Drosophila melanogaster: one gene and its partner. The protein of the gene in region 1 interacts with the protein of each later gene in a biochemical or structural test. Each region holds a gene or a part of one and is shown on either strand. Other genes may lie near its edges.

The links. Proteins that work in one complex are often made in the same cells at the same time.
Region 2: the proteins of Afti (region 1) and AP-1gamma form a complex in vitro, tested with the Drosophila melanogaster proteins (one study listed by BioGRID).

What each region holds. Positions count from the first base shown.
Region 1 is NT_033777.3:14,320,650-14,328,427, reverse strand, and holds Afti (aftiphilin), read left to right. Parts: upstream 1-1,738; 5' UTR 1,739-2,146; coding exon 2,147-2,291; intron 2,292-2,349; coding exon 2,350-3,671; intron 3,672-3,729; coding exon 3,730-3,868; intron 3,869-4,178; coding exon 4,179-4,556; intron 4,557-5,140; coding exon 5,141-6,642; 3' UTR 6,643-7,351; downstream 7,352-7,778. Other genes in the region: spn-B (spindle B), read right to left, coding at 1-102, 163-217; ATPsynE (ATP synthase, subunit E), read right to left, coding at 892-1,137.
Region 2 is NC_004354.4:9,107,023-9,111,726, forward strand, and holds the start of AP-1gamma (adaptor protein complex 1, gamma subunit), read left to right. Parts: upstream 1-1,668; 5' UTR 1,669-1,908; coding exon 1,909-1,964; intron 1,965-2,527; exon of another isoform or gene 2,528-2,965; intron 2,966-3,595; exon of another isoform or gene 3,596-3,966; coding exon of another isoform or gene 3,967-3,983; intron 3,984-4,059; coding exon 4,060-4,121; intron 4,122-4,364; coding exon 4,365-4,506; intron 4,507-4,575; coding exon 4,576-4,704. Other genes in the region: Arfrp1 (ADP-ribosylation factor related protein 1), read left to right, coding at 123-215, 283-535, 654-910.

The DNA.
Region 1 (7,778 bases):
CCGGAGTGCATTTTCGCACGATTGTGTGCAGCGATTGCTGGCGGGTGTCCAGGAATCGCACCTTGGGAGTTGTCAGCACCTCCTCCGGTGCGAGAACATTAACTGGAGTACAGGAATTTAGTTGGCTCTTGAATAAAGTTGTTGGAACCCCAAAACTCTTACCCTGCTCGGCGATTTCTCTGATATGCTTGGGCAATTGATCCAGAAAGTTTGTCATCGCGATGCGATGGCATGTCCTCGATGGGATTGCGTGATATAATGGCTCCCCGAAACACGAAAGGTGTCTCAACACCTCCGGAATTGGAAGTATTCCGGGGGATTATTGATCAAACAGCCGAGCCATGCGACGACTTGCGAGCGAATTGAAAGTGTAAATAAACGCCGGTTGAAATCAGCTGTTGGCGCCAATATCTTAAGTGGGCCAATCAGCTGGCAACTACAGTGGGCATCCAATAAGGTAAACTATCAGTTGTTGTTTATCAAAAAAGATTTAAAACAAAATTTAGGAAAATTATTGATAATCAATTTGCAAAAATATTTATATGTACTTCCTAGTCAAATTTGGAGCTCAAACCCTCTCAAATTCTCTCAATCCTCTCCTATCCAAACACTATGCTAATATAAATATATTTCCAGTGAACACCACTTAATCACAAACACGAAACACTTGAGAGTATTTACATAATGGTTTTGTTTCAATCATTTAATTTCGAACATTCTGTTTTTTGCACAAGCATCAGAGGAAAACACAAAAACGATAGTCAGTGATCGATAGATGGTGGCTCCACTATCGATGATGCTCCTCCTTTTGGGCGAACTTCGTGTGTAAATGTTGTGGTTTTTCAATGTTTTTAAGCTAAGGGAACTGCGGATGTTGCATCCTGAAGGATCCTAGTGCTTGGGAGTGGGCTTCGAAAGCTCAGCCAAGGCACGGGCCTCAGCCTCTGCGCTGCGCTTCTTCTCCTCGGCGAGCTTGGCATCACGGACGGCCTTCTGCTGTGCCTCGATCTCGCGCAACTTCTCCTCCTTCTTGGACAGGCGGCTCTGGTGGGCGGCGCCGTAGGCAATGCCCACCAGGAGCAGGGACCATCTGCCGAACTTGATCAGCGGGGAAACGCGAACGGGAGCCTGCGACATGGTTTCTTCTTCAAGTTATGTAATTGTCCGACCGTGAACTGCAAGAAAAGGATGTACTTTAGTTATCCGACTTCCTTAATAGCGTTCCCCGTCTCGCTCCACTTTACAGATTCCTGGTTTTCCTAGTTTTATGCAATATTTGATGTTAAATAAGCAAAATTACCAAATTGGTGGAGCGATTGCAACGGCAGCGCAGTATAACCTTAAAACAGCTGTCAAAACTGACAGGCGGCTATCGATAGTTGTATTGGTACGGTGGCGGCGTTGCCAGCAAGCTTAAAAAAGTATGCAGAAATTGTGGAAAATATCATAACAATTTAAAAGAAGCCTTTATGACGACTATTTGTTGTTTAGTGTCCCAACAAAATTTGACGTATTACATACTGCAGCCTAGACTTTCATGTATATTTTACTCTTGTTACTAATAATTTTCAAATACAATTTTAACGGTAAAAGAATTGGAAAGAATAAAAATCTATTATAGAAATATAACTAATATAACTATTCTATCTGAACTATGGATAATGATTTAAATCGAAAATGGGAATTGAAAAAGATAAGATTCAAATTTTGTATGTTATCAATGTTGCGCAACGTTTTTCAGCACTGTCGGTTGGCCAAAAGTTAAACGTTCACACTGTGGGCAGAGGAAAAAGTATTGTTTTCTGGAAAACATGGCTAATTGCAGATAAAACGCGACTTGCAAATTCGGCAAATCTGTTTTTAGAGCCACCAATAAGGCGACAATTAGACATAATACAGAGACACAACAAAATTGACGCGTGTTAAATGCAAACAAGAAAATTCCAACACAGACCTTGAGTGGCTAACACACACACACACACTTGCAGGCCCTCCACACCTGCGTCACACATACACACCACACACACAGTGATAAAGTGGAGCGAGAGAGATAGAAGATCGAACCGTTCCCAGCGTTTTTGTTGTTCTTCTTGAAGCAGGAAGTGAATTTTAGGGGATCCTTTTACTGAATTTTGCAGCTGGCATTATGGTGAATGTACCACCGCTGCTCTGCAGCACCCCCCCGCCCATCGATTTTGGTGAGGAAGACGACGATTCCGGTTTACAATCCACCATCCATTTGGACGAGGGTGACGAATACTCAGATTTTGGCTTAGTCAGCAGCTCGAAAGGCAAGCTTAGATATTTATCGAATCTCAAAGTGATACTCAGTTAATTCTCGCTTTTTAGAACCCCCTCCACCACCAGATCCCGTGGAGGAATTTCGAGAAAAGCCACCTGATTTGCTGGAAGACAAACAAACCGTCGAGGCATTTAATTACCAGGTGAAACAGAAGATGGATTACGATGTTTTCGAGGAAACAGCACCGCCGACGCCGCCTCCGTTGAGCTTGGAACTGGATGATGAGGAACTGGAGGAGCATGTGCCCTCCCTTAAGTTGGACAGTCTAAGTCTCTATTCCACGGAAAGCGTTTCTGCCGCCTCCACACTCTCACCGGTTGCGGAGACTAGTGCAGTTGCTCCGCCGGCTATGCAAACAACCAAAGCCCATATCCTCAGCCACCAAGTCACGCTGGAGGATGTGTCCGATGACAGCGACGAGGAGTGCTCGCCAAAGAAGCCCAAAGAACTATTTATACGCGAGGGAGCTGTGGATTTCTTTGCCATAGAGGTATTGGCCACTCCAACCCTACCATATGGAGAAGGCTTTTCGGAGGAGAATGTGGATACAGGGAAAGGAGAATACGTAGAGAATACCTCCCAGCCAGAAGAAAGCTTTAGAAGTTTGGAAGCCCAGGAGGAAAGTTCAAATACCTTAGAAAAGCCTATGGAAAATCAAAGCCGTGGCTTATCAAATCCTCCAAATCAGGAGGAATCCCCTCACCAATGGGGTGAACCAGCAAATAGTGATACATATTCATTTACAAATCTTGATGCGACGCCAAAAGACTTAGTACACAAAGAAATTGTTCCCGAAATGCAAGAGCAAGAAGATGATGATGACTTCGGTGACTTTGCGGATTTCTCAGCAGCAGAACCCCAACTAGAAATCACGGAGAATTCAACGTCTGCCTTTGAGACACCTTCCTTAGCAATCAATTCCCGAACGGAATCTCAACCTCTAGAGGTTAAGACGGCTCCTAGCACAGAAGAATCCTCTAAGTTACCTCCTGCAGAGACCGATGATGGCTTCGATGATTTTCAGGAGTTTGCCACTCCTGCGAATGGAAACCACGGTCAAAGCGAAGACGACGATGATTTTGGCGACTTCGCCGCGCCCGTAGTGACTCCTGTTTCTGTACCTCCGCCACCGCCGCCAGCTGCTGTCCATCTGAGCATAGATGAAAGGGTTAAGCCAGTCCTTGATATGATGTTTCCACAACCAACGGAACTGGACAGCAAAAGTATGGACAATCGCAGGCCTTTGGCTCAGTGCCAGCGATTCAATTTTGGTGCCATAGAGCATGCCCAAGCCCTTGATTACCAATGGAGCAGCTCGGAAATGAGACACGCCCTTGTTCGATCGCTGGGCATCGATTCAAGGAATATAGTAAGTTAGATAGGGCTTCAAAATGTATTTCAAATAACTGAAATTCATAAACTTCCAGCTCTTCGGCGACAAGTGGAACTCATCGATGCCACGTTTTGCTGCCAACCTGAGCTTTGATCCGCTGAAGCCGCTGAAACCTCAATCAACCGGCGCCGCAAGCAGCCTGGAGCCCATTTCCAATTCCACCAGCTACCAGGGTGAGTGTCCTTAGAGTCTCTGCGAGATTGCTCCACTTAGTTGCCGCAAATTAACCGCTACACAAGTTTCGTAAATCGAGAAATTGCCACCCTATCGCCTAACGCTCGCTTTACTTTCAAACGCTTTTCGTTGCCTATTTCCCGATCCTATTGACACACGCTTCCCGGATTGGCCTGCCGTTCGATTGGCTGCTCCTTTCTATATATTCTTATTGATTTTCGTTTGCCTTGTTTTTCCTTGTGACCACATTACTTCTAACTATCTCAACAAACAATCAAAAAGTTTATCCTTACGATAAATTGTATTTAGAATCACATGTACAGACATTACAATTGGAACAACTAGACCAACTAACGGTGGTGGCTAATGCTGATAAAATAAATCTTGTTACCTCTAACTCCCACACCAATAACAACAACGATAATGGTGATAACGACGTTGCTGCACCCGTTGATCAACTGGATTGTATGCCACCTGTGATGGATTTGATGACCCATAACGATCACAATTTGACAATCGATTTGCACCACTCTCCATCACTCACACATTTTGCCACCATCTGCAACAACAATAATAACGATAATAACAATCCCAACAATCTTAACAACAATCATGCAAAAAATACTGCAACAATGACAATAACAATTAACACAAACCTCACTGCTCACGACGCCTTGCTGGATTTTAGTAAGTTTCGTTGGCTCTGTGCGTGTGTTGTAGTTGAATCTCCACTCTTTTTTGGTTCGTTCAGTTCAGTTTCGATTCTCTATATACTTCTCAGCTCTATCTCTCTATCTACCCGTACCGTCCTACCGATCCACAGTTCCCCCAGTTCTTGTTACTTTGGCACAACGCATCCAATCTCAGCCAGCTCAGTTCTAGCACAAGTAGTTGAAGCCCGCCCAAGAGTTCCCTTCATTTTCACATTTTACTTAGCTAGATACAGTTGATCATACTAATACCTAAATATTGTCTCTAAACTAAGCCATCATCTGATGTGTTGCTAAATCTGGTAACTAAAAGTAATGCTTGAAATGTAACCATTTTCTGATTTCTTTGATTCTATAAAAGATACAATGTATCTAGTAAAATAAAATGATTAATGCAAGATTAGTATCCATATCCATTCCATATCTTTCATAAGCACAGTGTTTTTTTAGTTATCTGCAACATAACAGATGATTATAGCCGAATAACTAATTAATTATCTTTGTTTATCTCATAGTTTTCATTCATGACAGCCAAGTAATTGTTTTCTTTCCTTCGCACAGGATTGGAAAACGCCGCCGCAACAACGGCGAGCCAAACTGAAACGCGGACTGGCCCGTCTCATGGGGAAGGCTCCACCGGCTCCTGTTCCGCCAGCAATTCCGACGGCGAAGAGCGACCGAGTCATAGCCACCAGCCAACTGCAGTCCCCAGCCCCGAATCGAACCATATTGAATCCACAGCAGCGGCATCAGCAGCAGCTGTTGCTGCAGCAGCAGCGACGCTACCGACTACTCTATCAGCAGACAGCCCTGCCCACAAACTCAACGGCGGTGAGCAGCTGCATCAGCAGCGGTCGGAGCCGGAGCAGTTTGATTTGAGGACCACTCCTCCGGCCGCAGCGCCAGCTCAGGAGGAGATCGTGGGCAGCTCGATGGCCAGCTATTCGGTGCCGCTGAAGGAGACCCATATCTATACGCCCTCCAAATCGGATACGGCGGTGGCCAAGACCACCACACTAGCGCCCATTGATTTCGACTACGAGATGGCTGCGACGGGCATTATCATCGATGAGACGGTGGTGAAGAAGGAGTATCGCGACGTGGAGTACAAACCCCCATTTGGTCTGGATTCGCCCAGCAAACTGAGTGGCAATGGAGCTGCCAGCAGCTTTCAGTTGCCACCACAGACGACGGAAGATGACGACTTTAGTGATTTTCAATCTATGCCGGCGCCAAGGTCTCGAATTGATACACCCACTTTTGGCGAACAGATGATCCTTAGTCCGGCTATTCTGCTGCCCCAAGCCATTCCGCTGGCAAAGAAGCCAGCTGCAACTATTGAATGGGGCGACAATGCTCTGTCTAGCATAAATGCCGAGGAAATGGCCAGGATAGAGGAGTTGTTCTCCTCGCAGGCCAAACCGCTCACCATAAGCGCTTCGGTGGCCAAGAAACCAGCTCCTTCCACGCCAGCTCAGTCTCAGCCTCAAGAAGACGATGAATGGTCGGACTTTGTCTCTGTTCCAGTCACCCAACAGCAACCGCATCATCAGCAAAACGCAATTGCTAACAACAATAATATAGTCAACAGCAACGCTAGGAAACCAGCTGCTCCCAAAGAAGATGATTGGTCGGATTTTGTGAGCAGTACTCCGCCAGCACGACCGGCTCCACAATTCAATTCCGGTGCGTGGCAGAGCGCTAATTTCTACAACAATCCCTTGAGTTTGTACCAGGCGCAGCAGCAGCTGCAGCAACAGCCTCATAGCAATCTAGTGCCCAAGGGCAGCACCAGCAGCAGCAATAACAACAATGTGCCAGCCATTCCACAGCAAATACACATCATGCACGACTTCTCGACTGCACCCGTGTCTGGAGGATTGGGTGTGGGTGCCACCTACCAGCAGCAGCATCAGCGGCAGCAGTTCCAAATCGGCAACGCCAAGGTGGCTCCACGCATCTCCCTGATCCCCGATCTCAGCTTCGTTGCACCGGCCTTGCCCACAAATGCTGGTGCGTTCATGGGTGCGCTACCGAAACCCACTTTCGGTGGCAAGAAATGACACAAGAAGCTGAGGGTGGGCGGTGGGCGGCTCCAGCAGCAGCAGCAGCGTCCGCATGTGGGCGCTCCTCGCCCACTGGGTGGCGGCGAGGCCACCATCCTCACATAGGCGAAAGGATCGATCGCGCACCCGGGTAGCCAGTCAGTATTATGAATCCGTCTGATATTCACCATAATCCGAACCGTCACACATTGTAGTTTTGAGGCAAGCTGTGTTCCATGTTGTTGTCGTTGTTGTTAACCTTGTCGTTGGCATAATTGTTGTTGTTGTTGTGCATGCATGTTGTAGTCTTAGGCGTAAAAATCAGGATTTAGAACGAAACAAACAAGTAACCATTTTGTGCTATAGTTTGATTCTAAATTTATGTTTTACTTAATTTGACGAAAAAAATTATACTTTTGAAAAATAATATTTTGTAGAGCGAAAAAACTGTTAGTATGCTTGAAAAATTCTTTGTTTTTATCTAATATTATTTAAATGATCGGATATACTTTTAGAATTCGAATTATTGGGTAAATAAGTCAAAAAACTCTAGAAGAATTGTAAAGTAAAACGAAAAAGAATACCGCACACCAGTGAAATTATGTAATTTAAGGGATATTTCTGAAATCCTGCGAGATTTTAAGGTTTAAGCTTATGCATCCGATAGCATGCAATATCTCTATGCGGTCATATCAATATAACAACATAAGATTTATCATAGATGACCAAAAAAGAAAAGATACAAATTAATAACAAGGATTTCGGAAGTATCCCAAGTAAGGAAAAAATCGGCATTACTTTTAAAAATGTAAAACTATTAGTTCCATGATGATTTTAGCTTTAATCAACCCCAAAGTTAGAACCCTAAATCGGAAAACTCCGCCTATCTGAGGAATATCATCAGTTAATCCCTGCGGCAAAGCCTACAAATGCATTCCACTAGCGGCGAACTTCCCCTTTTGTATATCCATAACAAATACTCCAATGCGATTGCGGGCCACCACCACCACATGGATGAAAACCCAACCCGCCTGATGCGAATTTTTTCTATATTGTGTACTTATAACAAGCGACAGGAAAGCGAACTAACCAAGCAAACATAGTTAACGTGTTGTATATGAAATAGGATTTGTTAGTTGATAGAAGAACTCCCA
Region 2 (4,704 bases), on another chromosome or scaffold:
TAGATATAAGTGACACTTGCCCGATCGATACTATCGCATCGCCCTAGCCGCTGGCAGTGCCATCGCTAGCAGTTCAGTCAACAATTTAAGTTTTTGTTTTTGTTGGCCAAAAACACAATACAATGTACACATTGATGCACGGCTTCTACAAATACATGACTCAGAAGGACGACTACTGCGTGGTAATCCTGGGCCTGGACAATGCTGGCAAAACGGTAGGCAGCTGAATCATCCAATGAAAGCCTCATGTCCAATCGGAAACTAACACCTGTGCCCACGTAGACTTACCTGGAGGCCGCCAAGACCACGTTTACGCGTAACTATAAGGGCCTCAATCCGAGCAAGATCACGACGACGGTGGGCCTCAACATCGGCACCATCGACGTGCAGGGCGTACGCCTCAACTTCTGGGATCTTGGTGGCCAGCAGGAGCTGCAATCTCTCTGGGATAAGTACTACCAGGAGTCGCATGGCGTCATCTACGTGATTGATTCCAACGACAGGGAGCGCATGGAAGAGTCCAAAGCGATATTTGGTAAGCGAAAACAGTCTTCGAACTAATCCCTTGAACAAAACTCGTTTTGATCTATTCTGATGATCTCTGGTAAAAGGAAAAAGGTTCACCTAAAATGTGTTATTCTCTTTCCCCACAGACAAGATGATCAAGAACGAACTGCTGTCCGGAGTGCCTTTGCTAATCCTGGCCAACAAACAGGATCTGCCGGATGTGATGGGCGTGCGGGAGATCAAGCCAGTTTTCCAGCAGGCGGGTGCTTTAATCGGGCGGCGAGATTGCCTCACCATTCCCGTATCCGCGCTGCACGGCGAGGGCGTGGACGAGGGCATTAAGTGGCTGGTGGAGGCCATCAAACGACATGCGGTGGTGCGGCCGCCGCGGGAAAACGATTAGAAGATCAAGCAGAAGACATCTGGGCCTGGTAGTCGGCCCTCCACTGGCTTTAATTAGACATGTACTTTTGTAAGTTAGGGGCTTAGGATAACGCTTATTTGTAATTAGCCAGACGAGATTGCGAGATACCAATTGTAAAGATGCGTTGTCATTATTTGCAAAGACCTTTCTTTTCGGTTAACTACTGCTGAGAAAATGAGGAAAACAATGTTAGAAAGCTGTGAGACTTCTGCATAGGACAACGAATTACAAATACTATTGTTAGAATAACAAAGAACGCAATGCTTATTAGCCAATTAAGTGCAAGAACTATAAATTCAGAAGTACTTGAAGATGTATTTGAAGAAGTACTTTGTTCTGTTAATAACCCAGATACATGGGTATTTGGATGCCAAAAATGTAATAAAACTGAATCCATTCGCAGCTGTTATGGTTAATCGTTAGCCACAAAGTGTGTGGGCGATTCGAGGTCCACCAAAATCGGGAGAGTCGCTTCTTTATCTAACAGCACTGCACTCGTAGTACACCTCGATATGGCGGTTGTCAATGGGGCTCCGCTTATCCGAACCGAACGACACCGAACCGCGGAAAGAAACAACCAGCAAACAGACGGGATTGTGGTGTTCTCACGGCGGGGGGAGCATTATTATTACCATTATCAGTCCGATAGATAAGTGCTGTGTGTGCCACCAAAAAGCAAAGGCGGAGGAAAATGAAAATGAACTAAAAACAACACCTGGTGAGTGGCACTGGAATCGTCAGTCTTCCGCAGGAGTTTCCACCGCTCGGACTGGAAATGATCGGCCGCCAGCAAGGGCTAGATAGCTAGACCTCGAGCCAGAGCTAGAGAAAAGAAGAGCGTTACCTGTTAATTATTAGTGTACATTAGATAAGGCCTATGTGAAGCACTCGCCGCTTATCGCTGCCATTCCCATACCCGAACGCGCTCCCGCTCCCATTCCATTCGGTTTAGTTCCGTGCTCCAGTGAGAAGCCACCATGTATCCGTATTACGAGCAGGACTGGAGCGTTCTGCCGCCGGAGAACAATCGCAGGTGAGATGAAATCCCGCCCGGTGCTCGTTCATACCCTTAAAGATTCGCCAGTCGATCTTTAGAAAATGAGACTTTTGAAAGTGTTTTTCAAAAATGACGTTATCGCAGTGTGACCGTCCATTGACCGCTCTGCATAGCGGTATTTTTTTTTTATTTGTGCTGTGGTGTGGCAAAAGAAAATCGTTGAATCACCCTGTGTAAATGCAATTTATTGTCCCCCTATTATCTCTTTTATTTTGGTAAAACTGCCCCTTCTCTACTGGCATTCCATGTGAGTTGTTGCGGTTCGAATGCAATGCCATGGAAATATAATTAAGTGCATCTTTTACTTTGATAAGGCAATCAAATTAACTGAACGAATATTAAACTCAAACTGTTACTTATCTCTCAGATAAACACAATTAATTTGTAATGATTTATGCCTCAGTCTTGATATTTTCCGTATAACTATTTGTTTGGTTGATAAATCATTGAATACCTACCCACTGTGCCATCAAATGCGCTAACGCCTATCAGCGCGAGGCGTTAATGCCTTTTGCGCACACTGCTTGTAAATATCGCGCTCTCGCTCGCACCCACTACCACTGTTGCGCTCATCATCAACATATTCTCGACGAAACATTTTTTTTTACTTGTTACGTTGATTTTGTGGCGTTTAAAATAGCGATTAACCAGCGCCAAGTTGGCCCAGCGAACATGTGCTAAAGCGTAAATGCAGTGCTAGAATAGGCATTTATTCAATTGCAGAATCATTCCAGTTAAAAGCGAAGGTGTGTGCGTGTACTTGCGACGACGGGCCGTGTGTGTTGAAATTTTTTTTTTAGTTTTTGTCGCGTTGTTAAATTTTATAGTTGAAAAAAGCTAACGTGTTTCCTGATTATTCATTAACAAAAAAAACGTAACGCCGCCAAGTGCGCGAATGCATCCAATTTGTTAAAACGGAAATGCCCGTTGAAAAGTGTGCCATAGATTTTCCTGCCCTTTTCTTGTTGGCCCAAAAGGCATGCATGAGTGTATATATGTGTGTGTGTGCGTGAGCAAGTGTGTGTAGGCCTTCCAGCGAATCGCATAAATTAGCAGGCGAAAAATCACATTGAAAACAAACGAGGAAAGCTCGCAAGAAAAAAACCCTACGTGTTAAATATATACTATAGGGTATATAGGAGTGACGTTATTTCATGACTTTTTAATGCAATCGATATGTATGTATGTATGTCAGTTATGCTATCGCTGGCAGCTGTTTTCGTTTTTTGCCCAGTTCACTTAATAAAATATTAAGTGGACATCAGTAAACAAGTTGGATTTTTCGGGCTTACTGCTTCTCCTTTTCCAATTGGAAACCCTTTGCGCGCGTATGAATGTCTCTATTAATGTGTGTGCGTGTGTGTGCATTAATCATTTAATCAATTTGCATTGCGCTCCAAACTAAAGTGAATAAAGCACAGTAATTTGTTGTTGCCTTGGCCAGAAAGAGAGATCAAACGTATTTGTTTGAGCCAACTCACACACACCCACACCCATGCACGCATCTGAGATGTCAGTTTCATAACAACAGCGATCTACTTTATGTCAGCGGTAATTGTACCTGCTTTTATTTAAACTATTCAGCTTATTTTTTCCAATTCCATTAGCTTGGAAAGAGAGCAAGCGAGAGAAGGATAGAGAGTAGGAGAGCAAGTGCAACAAAATAGCGGCCGGCTGTTATTCCCTGTGTGTGTGTGTGCGCGCGTGTGTGTGCGTTTGTGTGGGAGTGCAGGTGTGTGTGCGCGGAAGATCTGCAGAGGAAAAACCGTTATTTCGTTTCGCTAATTTGTGTTGTTGCCCCGCCGCAACAGCAACAAAAAGAAAACAGAAGAGCACATAAGCCGGCAAATAGTTAACAAAACCAGACGTAATAGAATATAATAATAATAACAAAAATATAAATAAAAATACGAACCAGTAAAAGAAGGAGCAAAAAAAAGGCTGCCACACAAGTGATTCAACGTTTCTCGTCGCCACAATGAACTCCGAGCATGGGTAGGATCCTAAACAGCAGTGCAAACATCCCTAGAATTATGCCCATATAAACCCATTTAACCTCTTCCTCCGGCAGATTTAATCCAGCCTTCAATATGGCCACCATACGGCAAGCATTCACAGAGGCGGTGGAGAGAGGTAAGTCCAAGACAGTGAACACCACTTGGTAGATTGCTCCAATAAGAAGATGATCGTGTGCTTGTGATCACCCAAAAGGTGGCTACAAGTACGCTGCACTCCTTATTCATTCAGATATATAGTTATAGTTCTATTAATGACCTGAAACGAAGGATACAGGCAGGGGTTAAGAGAGAAAGATCAGCGGCCAGACAGACAAAAACCCGATTAATTAACATATTCACATCCACTTCTCGCCCACAGTCAGAATGCCTACGCCCACACGCCTGCGCGACCTCATCCGACAGATTCGCGCCGCCAGAACCGCCGCCGAGGAGCGGGCGGTGGTCAACAAAGAGTGCGCCTACATACGGAGCACGTTCCGCGAGGAGGACTCCGTCTGGCGGTGAGTCATCTACACCCGGTTGCAATATACATATGTATATACTATATATATATATATATTCGCCCACAGCTGTCGCAACATTGCCAAGCTGCTGTACATACACATGCTCGGCTATCCGGCTCACTTTGGCCAACTGGAGTGCCTTAAGCTGACGGCCAGCACGCGGTTCACAGACAAGCGGATCGGCTACCTGGGCGC